Oryctolagus cuniculus: one gene and its partners. The main gene of each other region encodes a partner of the protein of the gene in region 2 in a complex. Links are inferred from orthologs where the notes say so. Each region holds a gene or a part of one and is shown on either strand. Other genes may lie near its edges.

The links. Proteins that work in one complex are often made in the same cells at the same time.
Region 1: the proteins of PCNA (region 2) and POLD3 are in contact, whole or in part, in a crystal structure (PDB 1U76), measured with the Homo sapiens proteins. The link is inferred for Oryctolagus cuniculus from reciprocal best matches to the Homo sapiens genes PCNA and POLD3. Residues at the interface, in NP_002583.1 of Homo sapiens: Met40, His44, Val45, Ser46, Leu47, Glu124, Gln125, Leu126, Gly127, Ile128, Pro129, Thr206, Ala208, Asp232, Val233, Pro234, Tyr250, Ala252, Pro253, Lys254, Ile255, Glu256, Asp257; in NP_006582.1 of Homo sapiens: Ala453, Asn454, Arg455, Gln456, Val457, Ser458, Ile459, Thr460, Phe462, Phe463, Gln464, Arg465.
Region 3: PCNA (region 2) and DONSON share a complex: the UniProt entries of both Homo sapiens proteins name them as parts of the replisome complex. The link is inferred for Oryctolagus cuniculus from reciprocal best matches to the Homo sapiens genes PCNA and DONSON.
Region 4: the proteins of PCNA (region 2) and F-box DNA helicase 1 are in contact, whole or in part, in a crystal structure (PDB 8F5Q), measured with the Homo sapiens proteins. The link is inferred for Oryctolagus cuniculus from reciprocal best matches to the Homo sapiens genes PCNA and FBH1. Residues at the interface, in NP_002583.1 of Homo sapiens: Met40, Ser43, His44, Val45, Ser46, Leu47, Leu126, Gly127, Ile128, Pro129, Ala208, Asp232, Val233, Pro234, Tyr250, Leu251, Ala252, Pro253, Lys254, Ile255; in NP_835363.1 of Homo sapiens: Ser56, Gln57, Arg58, Cys59, Ile60, Pro61, Phe63, Phe64.

Annotation. Positions count from the first base shown.
Region 1 is NC_091432.1:65,786,969-65,790,950, reverse strand, and holds the start of POLD3 (DNA polymerase delta subunit 3), read right to left. Parts: upstream 2,802-3,982; 5' UTR 2,629-2,801; coding exon 2,569-2,628; intron 2,159-2,568; exon of another isoform or gene 1,636-2,158; intron 1,300-1,635; coding exon 1,244-1,299; intron 1-1,243. UniProt on the Homo sapiens protein: Accessory component of both the DNA polymerase delta complex and the DNA polymerase zeta complex.
Region 2 is NC_091442.1:30,190,195-30,194,263, reverse strand, and holds the start of PCNA (proliferating cell nuclear antigen), read left to right. Parts: upstream 1-1,267; 5' UTR 1,268-1,507; coding exon 1,508-1,728; intron 1,729-2,573; coding exon 2,574-2,671; intron 2,672-2,822; coding exon 2,823-2,890; intron 2,891-3,764; coding exon 3,765-3,959; intron 3,960-4,069. UniProt on the Homo sapiens protein: Auxiliary protein of DNA polymerase delta and epsilon, is involved in the control of eukaryotic DNA replication by increasing the polymerase's processibility during elongation of the leading strand.
Region 3 is NC_091435.1:11,427,785-11,431,295, forward strand, and holds part of DONSON (protein downstream neighbor of Son), read left to right. Parts: intron 1-959; coding exon 960-1,172; intron 1,173-1,601; coding exon 1,602-1,739; 3' UTR 1,740-1,747; exon of another isoform or gene 1,748-3,313; coding exon of another isoform or gene 3,314-3,511. Other genes in the region: protein SON, read right to left, coding at 3,314-3,472. UniProt on the Homo sapiens protein: Replisome component that maintains genome stability by protecting stalled or damaged replication forks.
Region 4 is NC_091444.1:77,494,863-77,498,970, forward strand, and holds the start of F-box DNA helicase 1, read left to right. Parts: upstream 1-1,307; 5' UTR 1,308-1,495; coding exon 1,496-1,496; exon of another isoform or gene 1,497-2,054; intron 2,055-3,681; exon of another isoform or gene 3,682-3,768; intron 3,769-4,108. UniProt on the Homo sapiens protein: 3'-5' DNA helicase and substrate-recognition component of the SCF(FBH1) E3 ubiquitin ligase complex that plays a key role in response to stalled/damaged replication forks.

The DNA of each region.
Region 1 (3,982 bases), on a different chromosome or scaffold from region 2:
AGGTACAGGTTCTTGTGGTGAGAATGACTTCACATAACTGAAGGAAAGCAAAGCAAATATGGCTAGAGTATCACAATTGAGACAGAGAGTGGTATAGGTAAAGTTGGGTACACAGGTAGGAATTAGTGTGCTAATGCTATAAAAATTACAAGTAATTGGGGTACCTCCACTAAAATTGCATACATCTTTATTTCATTTTCAGAGAATCCAGTCATTATTCATCCTTAAACCCCAACAGGTTAACAGGTGCTTCATCTCTTATTTAAATACCCATAATGGTAACAGACAATAACTCTTATAGGTATCCACTGACAAAGTTAACTGAAGCTCTTGGGTTTGGGCCAGAACTAGTCTTACGCAATTTTAGTCAAAATCAATCCAAATCCATCCCTATATAAGAGTTTCTGGGTTTTGAAAGCTTTAACATCACACCCCAAATTAGACTCCTAGATGTGCTTAACCCAATAAAACCAAATCAACCCATTCTAGAAGTCAGGGATTTTCTGAGACTTGTGGGAAGTTCTCATGACTCTAGGTTTCTATGACTCCAGAAGAAACTTCAGACCACCCTTAGGAATCAAACAAACAAAATGAGAATTTAACCCAATATATGTATCCTCAGCCAGTTCACTAATTCCTCCCCTGGGTCACAGACATCATCCACATCTTGGAAGTGAATTCAAAAGCTCACCTTTTCTTTTGGGCTCGGGTTAGATCCCAAATTTAGGCAAGGAAAGGTGACATGGCACTAAATTGAAGAAAGGCAAGGCCATACACCATCCTAAACACTCCCTTTCCAGTTTCACTTAAATCGCTCACCCTGTCACACAGCTTGCGTCGAACACCTGTTGACCTCATTATGAAGTACTCCAGTAACATCTGGAGATGGGTCTAAGGCCCACATATGAGAATGTGGTGAAGACGTAAGATAACAGACATATAAATTTTAGATGCAAAAAGAACTAATTCATTTAAGAAATTTGAAATAACAAACATGTTCACAGCAGGCCAAGGATGCAAATGAATCCAGCAAATTGATCACACCACACCTTTGTTATCAAGTCTACCAGTCTCCTAAAAGAGACAAAAATATGAGGTAGTAAAATAAGTGTTTTTTTCCATTTACTCAGGAAAAAAAAAGAAAATTAGTTCTATCCTAGGAGCTATCTAAAGAGCAAAACAAGAAACAAACAAAACAAAACCCTCCTCTATGTGATTAAAATTGGTAGTAAATTGGACTTACTGTTTGGCCTGGTTAACATGAACCCCTAGTGTATAGCTCAGCCATTTGTACGTCACCTGCAAGAAGAAGCAATTTTCAAGAATGTTTTATGAAATGCCCCCAGAGCCTAGATCAGTAATCTTAAGTGAGTGTGATTGTGCCTTATCAATTGCAATCAATACCACCACAGTTTTGTCAAGAACTACCTGGGCTGGCAGAATAAAGATATCTACTTTACAAACACTAACAAAAAGTTTGTGTTTTTTTCCCCCCAGACTGCTTCATACAAAGACAGTCCGAATACACGTAAAGAAAGAGCTCTCCTTTTCCTCTTGCTCCTTGTTTCACTTAGGCCTTTCTTTAGATTCTGCCTTTGTGGGGGAACCACCGGCCTAAACTACCTGAAAACTCACCTAGGAGCTAAATGATTTCCCAAGCGTATGATGCAGAAATCGCTCAGGAAAGCTGCAGCCACAGGGACGAGCACTAGGGGCACAGGCGGTGCAGGGGTCGGGATGAAGACCGCAGCGGGTCAGATGGGAACCACTGACACCAAGCGTGCAGCCCTCCTCCACCCCGTCCGCCTGTCACTCTCTCGCTAAAGCTCGCTACAGGCCGAGCTGCCATAATCAAAAGACCTGGGCAGGTCAGGCACAGGCCGGGGCGAGCTCGAAGGACTCGTGGAAGAGCCAGGCCTAGGTTCGAAGACGGCGCCGCCCTCTCTAAGAGCGACCGAACTCGTTCTTTGGCCTCGGGGTTCCCCGAAGGAATACGACTCCCTGCCTGGGGCGGGGGTGGGGGTGGGGAGGGCCGAGGCAAAGATGACGGGCAACAGCGCGTAGCCACAGAGCCCCGGCACCCAGCGGGCGCTCACTACCACGCCTCGCAAGGCGCATTCGCCTCCCTCCCCTCCGATCAGGACACCAACCCCGCCAGGCGGGTCACGCCCCCGTCAATACTCCAATTTCCAGGAAGAGGAAACCCGAGGTCAGACCGTCCCTCAACACGGCTGAGGCACACTTTCCTCAGAGGCAAACCTGGGGCTTGAAACGCCACCCGCCGGGTCAAGCCGGCGTAGGGACGCCTTAGACAGACCCTCAACCCCCGCGGCCTCTCCCCGGGGCAGCCCCCAACACGCCTACCCGAGGAACGCCCGCTGCCGCGCGCGCCATTAGACCTCCCCGGCGAGTCCTCGCTCGCCCCGGGAGCACGCGGTGACGGGGACCTGTCCCCCCTCTCGGCCAGTCCCCCACGAGACCACAAGCACGAGGGTCCAGGCCCCCACCGCCCTGGCTCGGCCCAGGACCCCAGTCGCACGCCTGCTCCCCCAGGCCCTCGCTCCTCACAATCTTGTTCTGGTCCGTGACGAACTCGTCTATATTTTCCAGATACAGCTGGTCCGCCATGGTGCCACAGCAATCGGCCCCGCCGGCTCGGGGTACCCCCTCTCAGTCACAGCGGCAGCTCCCGCCGGCGGGAAACGTCTTTACTCCCTCCCAGGTCCCGGGTCGTTTCCCACGGCAACCGAAGCGACGCGCTACGGCGGCCGCCCAGGGGTCAAACTAGTCACGGAGACGGCGCAGGGTGAAGTGGGTGGAGCCAGTAAGAGCCATTGGTTGGGGCGGGTTTGTGTGTGGTGTGTGTGGAGAGGAGGTGTCGGGTTTCACCCCGCCGCTGAGTGACCGCACCTGTAGGAGCCACAGCCTTTTCATCTGTGAATTGATAAAAGAATCCTTGCCTCGCGATATTTTATTCAGTAAATATTTGGAACCTATTCAGGCAGGCCACAGTTTTGGACGATAAAGATAAAAGTTGAGTAGGGCCGGCTGGAATACAATACTTGCCTGTTATAATGCACAGTTAAAGAATTAGAAGTTCTTCAAAGCAGGTAAAGGAGGCGGGGCGTTTCTGAGAGAGGCGGGAGCGGCTGCCGGGAAGAGAAAGCTCCAGATAGCGGGAATAGCGGGAATGTGGGGGAGAAGGAGCCAGGGAGAGAGGAGATCTGACGAGGCCACAGCACTCCATGCCTTAGGAGGCTGTGTGTAGGGTTGCATGCACGTCCTTCTCAGTTAAAGAGGACAAGGAGAATTTTCAGGTTGGGGAATTGCGTGAGAATTTCTCATAGTATCACCAAAAATTTAGGATAAGCCAAGGTCCCCAGCATAGTGAATAAGCAATCAAGCTCTAGAGGACTCCAGATTTGAATCTGGATTTCTTTTTAAATTTTTATTTTTTATTTGAAAGGCAGAATCGGGGCGGGGATTGGGGGAGGTTTTCCATCCACTGGTTCACTCCCAAGTGGTTGCAACAGCCAGGGCTGGGCGAGGCCGAAGCCAGAAGCTAGGAGCCATAAACTTCTTCCAGGTCCCTCACATGGGTCACTTCACTTGGGCCATCTTCATCATCTTCCACCGCTGTACCCAGCCACCTTAGCAGGGAGATGGATCCATAGTGGAGCAGTCAGGACTTGAAGCCATGCCCATGTGGGATTCGGGCACTGCAAGCGGCAGCTTTACTGACTATGCCACAGCCCTGGCCCCTTGAGTCTGATTTTTTATGTACTGAGTTTTATAAGTTGTTTAACCACTCAGAATCTGGTTCCTTATCTGTAAGATGGCAAAAGCCTACCAAGGGCCAGGAACGGTTCAGGGTAGTGAGGGTACAGCTGCAGTCATTAAGACATGGAGGCCGTTCTCATTACATCACACTCTCCTGGAGATATTTAAGTCCCAGTCTCCCATGGTCTCCCAGCTGCCTTCC
Region 2 (4,069 bases):
GCCAGGAGCCAGGAGCTTCTTCCAGGTCTTCCATGTGTGTGTGTGGGCCCAGGAATTTGGGGCCATCTTCCACTGCTTTCCTAGGCCATAGCAGAAAGCTGGATCGGAAGTGGAGCAGCCGGGTCGCCCATATGGGATGCCAGCACTGCATGGAGCGGCTTTACTCACTATGCTACAGTATTGACCCCTAAAATAAAATCTTCTATCTGGGGCCAGAGCTGTGGCAAAGGGGGTAAAGCTGTGGCCTAAAGTGCCAGCATCCCATATGGGCGCCAGTTTGAGTCCTGGCTGCTCCACTTCTGATACAGTTCTCTGCTGTGGCATGAGAAGGTAGTAAAAGATGATCCAAGTCCTTGGGCCCCTGCACTGGCATGGGAGACCCAGAAGCTCCTGGCTCCTGGCTTTGGATTGGCGCAGCTCCAGCCGTTGTGGCCATCTGGGGAATGAATCAGTGGATGGAAGACCTCTCTCTCAGCCTCTGCCTCTATAACTCTGCCTTTCAAATAAATAACTCTTAAACACACACACACACACACACACACATCGTCAAGAAATACAAGCATTTGAAAGATACCGATCTGTAACACTAAACTTTTCACACAACTGAGCACGGATTTAAAAATGAGACTTTCAGTATCTGTAGTCAAGAAAACATAGGAGATGAGCACGCTTACACACACGATCTTTAGAAGCCAACTAGTAATTTATCTGAATGAGTATACTCTTCATTCATCACTGCTACTTCAGGGAGTTGAACTCACAAAAGCACCCAAATGCCCAAAGGTGTTCTTAATAACAGGAATTGGTCATTAGGTCGCATACATGGGACGTTACGGAACCTTTATTAAGTAAATACCGAAAAGATGTTCGTGACATACTCTGTTGGAACGTGAACGTATTTCTTTTTAAATATCTTTTTATAGAAGAAAGTGTAGAAAACTGTAGACAGCAAACAGTTGAGAGATTATATGATCTTGGTATGTGTGTGCTGGGAGCCAGTGATTCTCCCCTCAAAGCGAGAGGCTTAGAAACCAACACAGCGCACCAAGCTCGACGGTCACCCGGTGCTTCGTCGCCCAGACATGTCTGGCGTCCGCCCCAGGAACTAAGAAAAACGCGGGGCGGCTGGCAGTGCGTCACCCTGTCGGCCTCCGAAGGCGCGCTGTGCGCCTGCCCCGCCCCCGCTTCAGCAGCCTCCAATGACTGCCTTTCGGGGGCGGGCTTTGCGCGGAGCAGGAACACGATTGGTCCTCAGGATCCCTTCCGCCCAGCCGGTGGGCGGGGAAGCGTCGTGACGCCTTAACACGGGGCGCAGGGGCGGAGAGCGCGCGCTTACAGACGCGGCGGCATTAAACGGTAGCCGGCGCTGCGAACCAGTCGTCGTCTTTCGGGGGGTCTTGGGTACACGCCGCTGTATTCGTCCGCTCGTCCTGAGCCTCGCGAAGAAGTTTCAGCCAGAACTTTCTCCTTTACTCGCCTGCAGCCGCGACACTGCGACCCCGCCACCATGTTTGAGGCACGCCTGGTCCAGGGCTCCATCCTGAAGAAGGTGCTGGAGGCACTCAAGGATCTCATCAACGAGGCCTGCTGGGACATCAGCTCGGGCGGCGTGAACCTGCAAAGCATGGACTCGTCCCACGTCTCCCTGGTGCAGCTCACCCTGCGCTCCGAGGGCTTCGACACGTACCGCTGCGACCGCAACCTGGCCATGGGCGTGAACCTCACCAGGTAAGCCCGGGGCTCTGGCCCACCGCCATCCCCGGCTCTTGGCGGGAGCGCCTTCGAGGCGGGCCCTCATTGGCTGGGGTGGGCCACCGGCGCCTTCTCATTGGCCTGCCACGGCGGGAGGCGGGACCCTGGGGAGCGCGCGGTTCCGAAAAGCCCGCGCTGGCCGCCGCGCGAACCGGCTCTTTTCCGCGCCAACGTCACAAAAGCGAGTGGTGGCGGGAAAACGCCTGTCGCGGAGCGCTCTGCAGCCCGGAATGGGGAAACCTGTGGTCGTGTTGACTCGCACTGCGTTGTTACGTGCTCTCGTGGCAACGTGTGGCTCTGTGTCACCCTTCTTGGGCCACATGATGTTTCTGGGTCTTTATTACACGGTCGCACTGAGCATCCTAAACTGGATTTGTCCTGGGGACATTTCCCCGGGGCATTGGCTTTCAGCTTCCTGACTGCTCCCTGTCTGGTCCGTGTATACGGTTAAGTTTTAAAAGGCTCGAGAGAAATAACTCCTAGTGCGTGGGGCGTGTTTCAGGTTTGTTAGCTCACTTAATAACGGTCGTCGTGGCCCACTAATTTACTAAACCCACTGGAGGGATTTACAGTGCACAAAATACTGCTGTTTATGTGTTACACCCAGAGCTGAAATTGCTGGTGTGTTCCGGTGTTAAGTATTAGTAGGACCGGGTTGCCTTCCTGAATGGTGCTGGACCCCTGAACCCAGCCTCCAGCCAGTTTCCCCTCACCTGTCTATCACACAGCCTGAGGGGTGGGCATGGTAGCTCCTGATTGCGCTCGGAATCTAGATTTAGAGCAGATGGTGTTGATTGCAAACCGTATCTTGTGTGTTGTAGCATGTCCAAAATACTAAAATGTGCCGGCAACGAAGACATCATTACACTGAGGGCTGAAGATAATGCGGACACCTTGGCGCTAGTATTTGAAGCACCAAGTAAGTCATAACCTTGTACTGAGTTATGCTATAGGGAACTAAAATCTCTCTTGATTCTCAGCTGTGAGAATTTTAAATTTTTTGTGATGGTCGTAAAAATTTACATCATGATTATAAAACATTTTTCTTAACATTTGCTTTCTTTTCGTAGATCAAGAGAAAGTTTCAGACTATGAAATGAAATTAATGGACTTAGATGTTGAACAGCTTGGAATTCCAGTGAGTATCAGCTTCTGATTGCACATAGTCATCAGTTACTTAAGATGTGTTAATATAACCTAATGCCTACTGCCTATATATCTAGATTTTCTTTTTTTTTTTTCAAAGCAAGATTTGTATATTTGTATGACAGTTGTCATTTTACTAAACTGTAGCAGCCTAAAACTGACTGTGGGGTGAATTCATTTTTTGCTGTGGAGTGCTTACTTGCATTAGCCTCTGTGCGTCTTTTTTTTAATTAAGGGTGGGCTTATCACCATTAAATGAGAACAGCTGTTGGGAATGTTTAAAATGTAAAATGCATAATGTGTTTTCACTTTTAAGTCTGCCCCATCACTACTGTTCGAAACCCTAATATCCTCTTGATTTGGCTCTGGAGGATCATTAAGAGGTTCTTGTATGATTATTATGCCATACTACTTTTAGTTGGAGTGTGAGTCATATACTAACCAGTTTTTAATTAAAGATTTGAGAAGCAAAGTGGCAAACAGATGAAAAGAGATCTTCCATTCACTAGTTCACTCCCTAAATGGCTGCAATACCTAGGCCTGGCCCAGGCCAAAACCAGGAACCTGGCATTCCCTCTAGGTCTCCCACAAGGGTAAAAGAGGCCCAAACACTTGGGTCATCGTTTGCTGCTTTCCCAGGTACATTATTAGCAGGAAGCTGCATCAGAAGCAGGGCAGCTTGTATTTGAACTGGCATTACAGTGTGGGCTGCCTGTGTCTGCAAATGAGTTTAACCTGCTGTGCCACAATACTGGTCTCTAGTAATGTTTTAAAGAAATCAGAAAAACCTGAGATCTGAGTTTAGACGTTTGCTTAAGAGTGAGGATGTCAGATTTCCAGCAGTTAATGTTAAGTTTGTTTTATAGGAACAAGAGTACAGCTGTGTAGTAAAAATGCCTTCTGGTGAATTTGCACGTATATGCCGAGACCTCAGCCATATTGGAGATGCCGTTGTAATATCCTGTGCAAAAGATGGGGTGAAGTTTTCCGCCAGTGGAGAACTGGGAAATGGAAACATTAAGTTGTCACAAACGAGCAATGTTGATAAAGAAGAGGAAGCTGTAAGTAGTAAAGTTAGATTTAGCATTTCTCAAATATTTTGGAGAATTGTAATGTCCAACAAATTAGGTTAATTATGAAAGGTAAAAATAAAAATGCATTCCAGGTTACT
Region 3 (3,511 bases), on a different chromosome or scaffold from region 2:
TCCCCAGATGCCCACAACAGCCAGGGATGAACCAGGCTGAGGCCAGGTGCCAGACATTCCATAAAGATCACCCACATGGTTTGCAGGTACTTGAACCATCACCTACTACCTCACAGGATGCACATTAGCAGGAAGCTGGACTGAGGAGCAGAGCCAGACTTGAACAAGACACTACAATTGCGCTGTCTTAAGTGCTGTGTCTAGTGCCTGCCCTAGCTGGACTGAGTTCCCAACGCCTGGTTTCAGGGCATTTGTAGAGGTGAACCAGCAGGTGGAAGATTTTTGTTGCTCTCTTTACCTGAAATACACAATTTTCTTTTCAAAGGAATAAGAGACTACTAATTTTTACTTTTTATCTTGGTAAAAATAAATACTTTTGTGGTACATGAAAGAAATTTAAAATACAAATTATTTAAAATGGTTTCTTATTATTATGCAGCAAAAGCATTATTTCCTTTTTTTGTTTATGGAAGCATCTCATTTTGTTTCACTTTTACCATTGAGGACATAGCCAAGAATGTTGCTACAGAGCTCAAGGTCTACTCATTCATAAGTAAAAATAATTGTATATCCTTATCAAATGATAAGTCTACACATAAATATACATACTAAGTTAATAGCAATAGATGTGTGGAGTGTGTTTTCTCTCAATATTCTGTGTTGAGCATACATGGATACTCGGTTTTAGCAGAACTGAAAAAAATATCATTTCTCATGAATGTTTGAAGATGACTGTTGTAAGAAAAAAGTCATTCTCTAGAATACACTTCAGCCAGAACCCTCATGTGAGGACCATGGTGGCACTGAGCTGTCACTGTCACTAGTTCTCACGCACGTCATTGTGACGTTGTGATAACTACTTTTGTTCTGTGCCTTTGGATATGAGGCCCAGATGGAAATGACTGAACAGTTTTGCAACAGGGATGGTGATTTTTCTTTTTCTTTACATTTCCATGAAGGCACGAAGTGTGAATGTGAAGAGCCAAGCTCCTTCTGGATACAAAGATCAGTTTAGTTTGGAGATTACAGGTCCTATCCTGCCTCATTGTGTGCATTCCGTCACCACGCTGCTCCAGTCTTCACAAAGCGGGTCCTTCTCGGCAGGACTCTATCCACATGAGCCAACTACTGTATTTAATATATGCCTGCCTATGGATAATGTACTGGATAAGGTGAGGCGACAGGTGTGAACCGTTTCCCCGACCAGCTCTCAGGGAAGTCACTTCTGATGAGCCACAGAAACTGTGTTATGAACTGGTCAGAAGGCATATCTCTTGTTTTTGTGTCATATCTTATGAATTTAGCCTTTTGTACTAGTGACAGTAACTGAAGAACTTTACAGCTCTTAGATCCAAAACTTAGTGCCTGATTCCTTCAGGATATAGAAACATGACTACTTAACCATATTTGCCTTGTCTTGAAAATAAGTTTTGTTGAGATTGTAATCAAGGCCTCCCTCTATTGCCTGATGCCTATCAGCTTGCTAGACTTAAAACACCGCTGCAAAATCTCCTAGGATCAACTTCTGTTGAGCTGAATGTGTTAGTATGAATGTTCAAAACTAATGTGTTTTTTACTGACTTGTATGCAAATTTCCACAGGAGGTGGTACACAAAGAGCTTGCTAACTGTGGGTTGCATCCTAAGACTCTGGACCAACTCAGTCAAATACCGTTACTGGGGAAATCATCTTTACGGAATGTGGAAATGAGTGACTACGTTTATAATTGGAGATCCTGAACACCAAAGTAAGCCTAAAAGGAATCTTTGAGGAAAAAAACCTCCTAGCAAGGAAATTCAAGATTCTTGTCTTTGGCCTTAAAAGTTCATTTTGCAAGTTGAATATTAACTTTTATTACATGCACTGAGCAGTAGCATTAAGGTTTTGAGTCAACTTTTTATTTTAAAGTTAGGTTTCCAGATATTGAACATAAGTTAAACTTTTTTCAAAACACTGAAAATTCTTAAAAACTGAGTAATGAGAAAGACTAAACCTGTAGCAACTATTCCCACTGTGACTAATGGCATCAGTGCAAAAATACTACTTTCATAAATCTCTGTTAGAGAGTTCTTGTAGAAATAAATGTAGATAGTAACTACTGAGCTGATTCTTGATGCTTCTGCTTTAGCACTTTTTGCTACTGATTTCTAATTCTATTTTTAAATACACTCAAAAAATGTTTTAATGCATGTCAATCCAGACAAAAGGGCAGTTTGTATGCCATACAGAATAGTGATGAGCGTTGTAAAACATGCTTAGCTGCCATGTAGCACTCTTCAATGTGCTCGTAGGTGTTTGTGTGTATGTGTGCTTCAAATTTAAATAAAAGTGCTTAGAAATCGAAAGCATTGGGTAAAGAAATAACAGCATTTAGTGAAGAAGTATGTGTTTACTTTATAATCCAGAAAATAAACCACCACGTTTGTTCCAGAGAAGTTTGTATTTGGGCCTTAAGCTTTTGAAAATAAAGTTTAGAGACATAGCATATGAATACCACTGTAATACACATGAAATACTCTATCAGACCCTAAAAATTAACATAAACTTTCTCATAGTCAACAAAATAGTGGCTGGTTGCCAATTTTATTAGATAAGTTGGTTACAGCATTGTAATTATCATTTTACATCTATCTAGGTGTAGCTGAAATTCAAAATGCACATCAAAGTAAAACTATATCACAACTCAATGCCATACTAAACATACTTGGCCTCTGCAGAATTCTAGTCAGACTTCCTCCACTCTTATGACCCAAGTGGCTTTAACGGGAATGCAGGACTTAGTGCTGGTCATCACACAACATACCACTTTTCTTTTTATAACCTCTACAAAATTTTAAGGGGAGATGGTGGCATTAGCCCTGTGGAACAGATCTTGCTTGATTACCTCAATAACACTGGCCCAGTATCTGTCCAGCAGAACCCATTGTGAAATAGTACAAGGTGCACAGCCCTTCACTGATTACAGGCAAGTGTTACAGCAGCCTAGCCATAGGAAGGGGAGTTACATCATAGTACAAAATACAGTATAAAAGCGTTATTTAACATTCCACACTGAAGATTACTGATGCCTTCAAACAACTGTTTGGATGTTAGCCACTTAAACAAATACATCACTAAGGTAAACAATATAAACATACCAAAACCCTGTATGGTTAAATACAATTTCCATGGTACAAAAATCAAAGCCTGGAGATGTTTGTACAGATTGCTTTTTACACAATGTCTTAAATTGCCAAATATTTACAACATTAAAGAGGAAATACATTGTGATGCAGAGTAAAATTATCTGAAATGATTAATATAAAACCTCAATCTATCTACGTGAGGCACTCCTGAAGCAAGTGGCATTAGCCATGAGGTCCTTTGGTACAAGGCCCATTGCTTGAAGAACCACAGTAGCAGCTGTGGCTTTAGCATGCTTCTTATTAGGGCTGGCAAAGCTGGGCTGGTAAGCGCTTCCATTTATCAATACCTATTCAAGAAAAACATACAATTGGGCTGGTAAGGGCTT
Region 4 (4,108 bases), on a different chromosome or scaffold from region 2:
TGTTCTCTACCTTACACGGAGAAATGATTGACCCAACCAGCCAGCTAACCCCACACGGGCAGGAATGAAGTAGGCTGTAAGTCAATTTCACTTTAGGGGAAGGCTGGGGCAGGGGAACCCTGCCATTGAGAAGGCCTGGGTAGAGAACCAGGAGCTGAGAAAAGCTAATGATGTCGGAAGAGATGAATGAAGTACACAGAAATCTACGTTTCCACAGGCAGTAGACAGGCGGGGCGTCTTTCTGGATCCTCGCCACCTACCAGTCGCCCTTCAATCCCGGTGGCCCCTAGAGACCGCCTCGTGCAGAGGCCGCTTGTAGTCTTGGTCATTGGCCTCGATGTCCTTGTCTCAGGCCTGGGGCAGATGGGTCAGGATGTCCAAATGCCCGTAGTAGGCGGCACAGTGCAGCCTGCAACTCCTCGTGCTGGGCTTGCAGCCGGCCCTCCTGCAAATGCTTGCAAAGGCGCCATGGGTTCCCGGAAGAGACCGTCATTGCAGACCAGGCTGGGCAAAGCTAAGAGTGGATAGGGACTTTCTCTTCTCGCAGGAGAACCCCCACCCACCAGCTTCTGTCTCCAGCACTGCTACAGCCCCCAGTGCTTTCACACCCTGACTCCTGCCCAAGGCCAGGAAGAAACAGTTCAGAGCGCAGGGTGCTTGCTGATTCTTCAGGGGGCCAGGCAGTCGACGGTGAGCACTCTCGGGGTTGCTCTGCGGCGTGCTACCTGCCAACTGCCTGTCAAGTGTGCTTGCCCTAAAGCACGGAACGCACCCAGGTCGGGGCTCCGGGCGCCTCCTCAGTCCTGGAGCTTGCTGCACAGCTGTGAGTTGGACCCAAAATGTCAAAGAGTGAGGATGGGGGCGTCGCCCTACCGCAAAACCCGCAAGCGCGACGAGGATGCCTGCCAAGCCCACATGGCCTTTTCCACCATAGCCTGCCTGACAGGGAACTGCCCAGGGATGACTGCTGGGCGGCCGACCCCCGGACGTGCAGCCGCTCCTGCTTGCATGAACCAGCCCGCTGCCCGACCCGCTAGGCGAATGGGTGGTGTTCCATTGCTCCACCTTCTCCCAACCCCTTCAGCAGCACTCTCCGCCTCCTCGCCTGCCCGCAGACCTGGGGACCAGCGGAGCTCTAAGGAACTCTGGGAAAGTTGCCCCTCTCCTCGGGGGCCCGACCGGAAGCTCAGACCAGGCGTGGTGCGCTAGTGACGGCCGCGCCCCCTTTGGAGCGCATTTCTATTGGTAGCGGCGGCTGACCGTCAGCGCGCCCCTTCCGGTTGCCCGTCCCGATTGGCTCCAGAGGCGATCCGTCGGCTCGGGCGGCGGATGCTACACTCGGCTGCTGCGGGGTGGAGCTCGCGGAGGAAGTCGGCGGCTGTCAGAGATCACGGTCCAGCCTGGAGGAGGAGCTGGGTGGTTGGAGACGCTGGGCTGTGGGGCCGGCGGCGGCGGCGGCTGCGGCAGCGTCGGCAGCCCCAGTCCGGAGCGCCAAAGTGCGTGAGGCCGCGGACGTGGCACGGAGTGCGGGCGGGTGTCAGCCGTGCGCGGAACTTACCCTTGTGGGGGTCCTGCGCTGGGGTTCCGGTCTCGGGGTGGGGGGTCAGTGGGTCTGCTGGGAGAGCCCGGCCAAGCCCTGGCTGAACCTGGGTGAAGGGGCGCGGCCCCGGCCGGCAGCGGGCAGGTGGAGGGCGCTGCAGGCTGTGCATCGGGGCGGCTGGGGTTCCGCGTGAGCTCGGGCCAGGCCCTCGACCCCTCACTGCTCCGTGGGGCCCAGAAGGGGTAGCTCGGCGTTTCTCGGCGACTGGAAGAGGTGGCACGGTAGACGTGGCCGCAGCTGTTGGCAAGCCCGGCTTTCGTTTTGTATTCCGATGTTTTGACCTTGGGCGAGTCGTTTTTTGTTGCCTTGTTTGCCCTTGCTTTTTTTGGTAGCCTCCTCCCTCCTTGTCCGAAGATAAGGTTAAGGTGATGTGGGAAGGCCTTGAACTTTTGGGCTACACTGAGCTCTTAAAAAACAAACAAAAAAAAGACTATGGGTGAATGAAGAGATTTGGGTAGGTGTTGACGTTCCTTACCTGACCTTATGGATAGTGGTTGTTTGCCTCTTGATGTTGTCAGCTCCTTTAGAGGGTAAGAGGAGAGTTGCTGCTTTGTGCCTGGGTTGTAAACAAATACCCTTTACATTTGATATTGCACTCTGTGGTTTGCAGAGCACTTTACATTAATTATCTCATCCGCAAACGATCCTGCAGAGCATCGCTCTGGTTTTACAAGTGAGGGAAGTGGGCCTTCTTGAGGATAGTGGTTCTTTCTATTAGTGATTCTTTCTATATTATAAGTGCGGGCAAGAAGATCTTCTGGAAGGAAAGGTGGTAACATCTACAGAGTGTCCTACTGCCTGACACTGCAGAAATAGGCAGAGATAAAATAAAGAGAGATCTCTGGTAAGGGTCAGTGAAAGGAAGCCAGTCAGTTTGGTTAACTTCCTGAATAATATGTGCAGTCACTGGGGACAGAATAAGTCCTAGTTACCAGCTTTGCCAAAGTTACAGTTTCATTTATCCTGTCACTCTCCACCCACTCCCCAAACTCTCCTCCCCAAAAGTAGGGAATGAGTAAAGGTGCTTTGAAATGTGCAAACCTTAGGACATGCCAAGCAGTGTTCTTACTGCTTGCTCTTGGAGTCAGTGCAAATTGGAAGTTAAGGCATCCAGGAACTTCATACTTTTTTTTGCTATTAATCCTCCTGTCCATCCCCCATGGTTCTGATTATAAATGACCTTCCTTTGCTTGCTTCATGTCTCCAGTTTCCTTTGATTTTTCAGCAAAATTGAGATACATGGGCCGACAGTCAGATGGAATATTGAAAATGTAGGACAGTTTGCTACTTAATTGGTGTTCCAGATGCAATTCAGCTTCTCCTGTGTTCTTTATAAACGTCTTTTGGCCTGTGTCCCCTCTTTGGATAACAGGAAAATTCAGTATGTGACTTCACACAGTCCCTGTGGTTTTCCTGGAGCACAAGCTTGGTGTAGGGAGAGGATCTGCAAGTAAGCGAAGAGACAGGTGGAGCTTTTCCCAGTTGGACTACCCTTTTCTTTGGGACTTTGTGGTTTGACCTTATTGTCCATTTCACATGGCGTTGTGGTTGGTGTTGTGATTTGTTACCTGGATGTCTTTCCTTTTTTTCATGTTGCATTTCCTGAGCATTCAGCTGTGGCCACTGGAATACTGATTGGTTGACATGTTTTGTGATTTGTGAGTGTGCATAGACACCAAACACTCTCATGAGACTTAGAATTCCAATTTCAGATTTGTTGCCAACATTTGCTCTGCTTACTACATTTCTGTATCCCTTATAGGCTGATTTGTATTTGGAAGCTGAACTTGGATTCAGTTTTACTGTTCTGGTTGTGAAATTACTTCTAGAAATTTGTCTATTACCAAAGCATCACAAACCTTACGTCTTCATCTATCATTCACCTGCCTTTTGAAGACCAGTCTGCTATTTCATAATACTTCCTGGAGCTTAACCTAATATTCCATAGATATCTTTAAAACAGGAAAAATAATTAGCATCCCGCTCACTCCAGAAAAGAGCAATTAAAACAACACTGTTTCTCTTTTATTCTTATAATAGAAATATGTTATCTCTTCTGCTCTTTCTTTTTCTCCTAACAGTCCTGTCAGAAAGGCTTCTTGAGACTCTGCCCAGTTGCCCTCTGCCCAATTTCTGTTGCTCTCCGGCCTTTACCGACTCTTGCCTAGGTTGGTACAGTGATTTTATGACTTGTCTTCCTGACAACTTGCATGTCTGTTCGTCCTCTGTGAATGACTAGGTAATGACTCTTGTTGAAAACTGGGTGAAACCTTGAATGGCCTACATGATAAAGTGCAGTCTCTTTAGCAGTGTGGTTAAGGACCTGTGTAGTGGTAGCTCCAGATTCTTCCAGATGTGTCTCCCATCATTCTTCATCTTGGAACCTCGTGTTCTGACAAAACCCACCTTTTTGGCCACACCAAAGCTTTGTTATTTCTCCATATTTTTGCACATATTGGTTTTTCTGCCTAACTGAATCCCATTCATTTTTCAAGGCTCAGCTCTTTA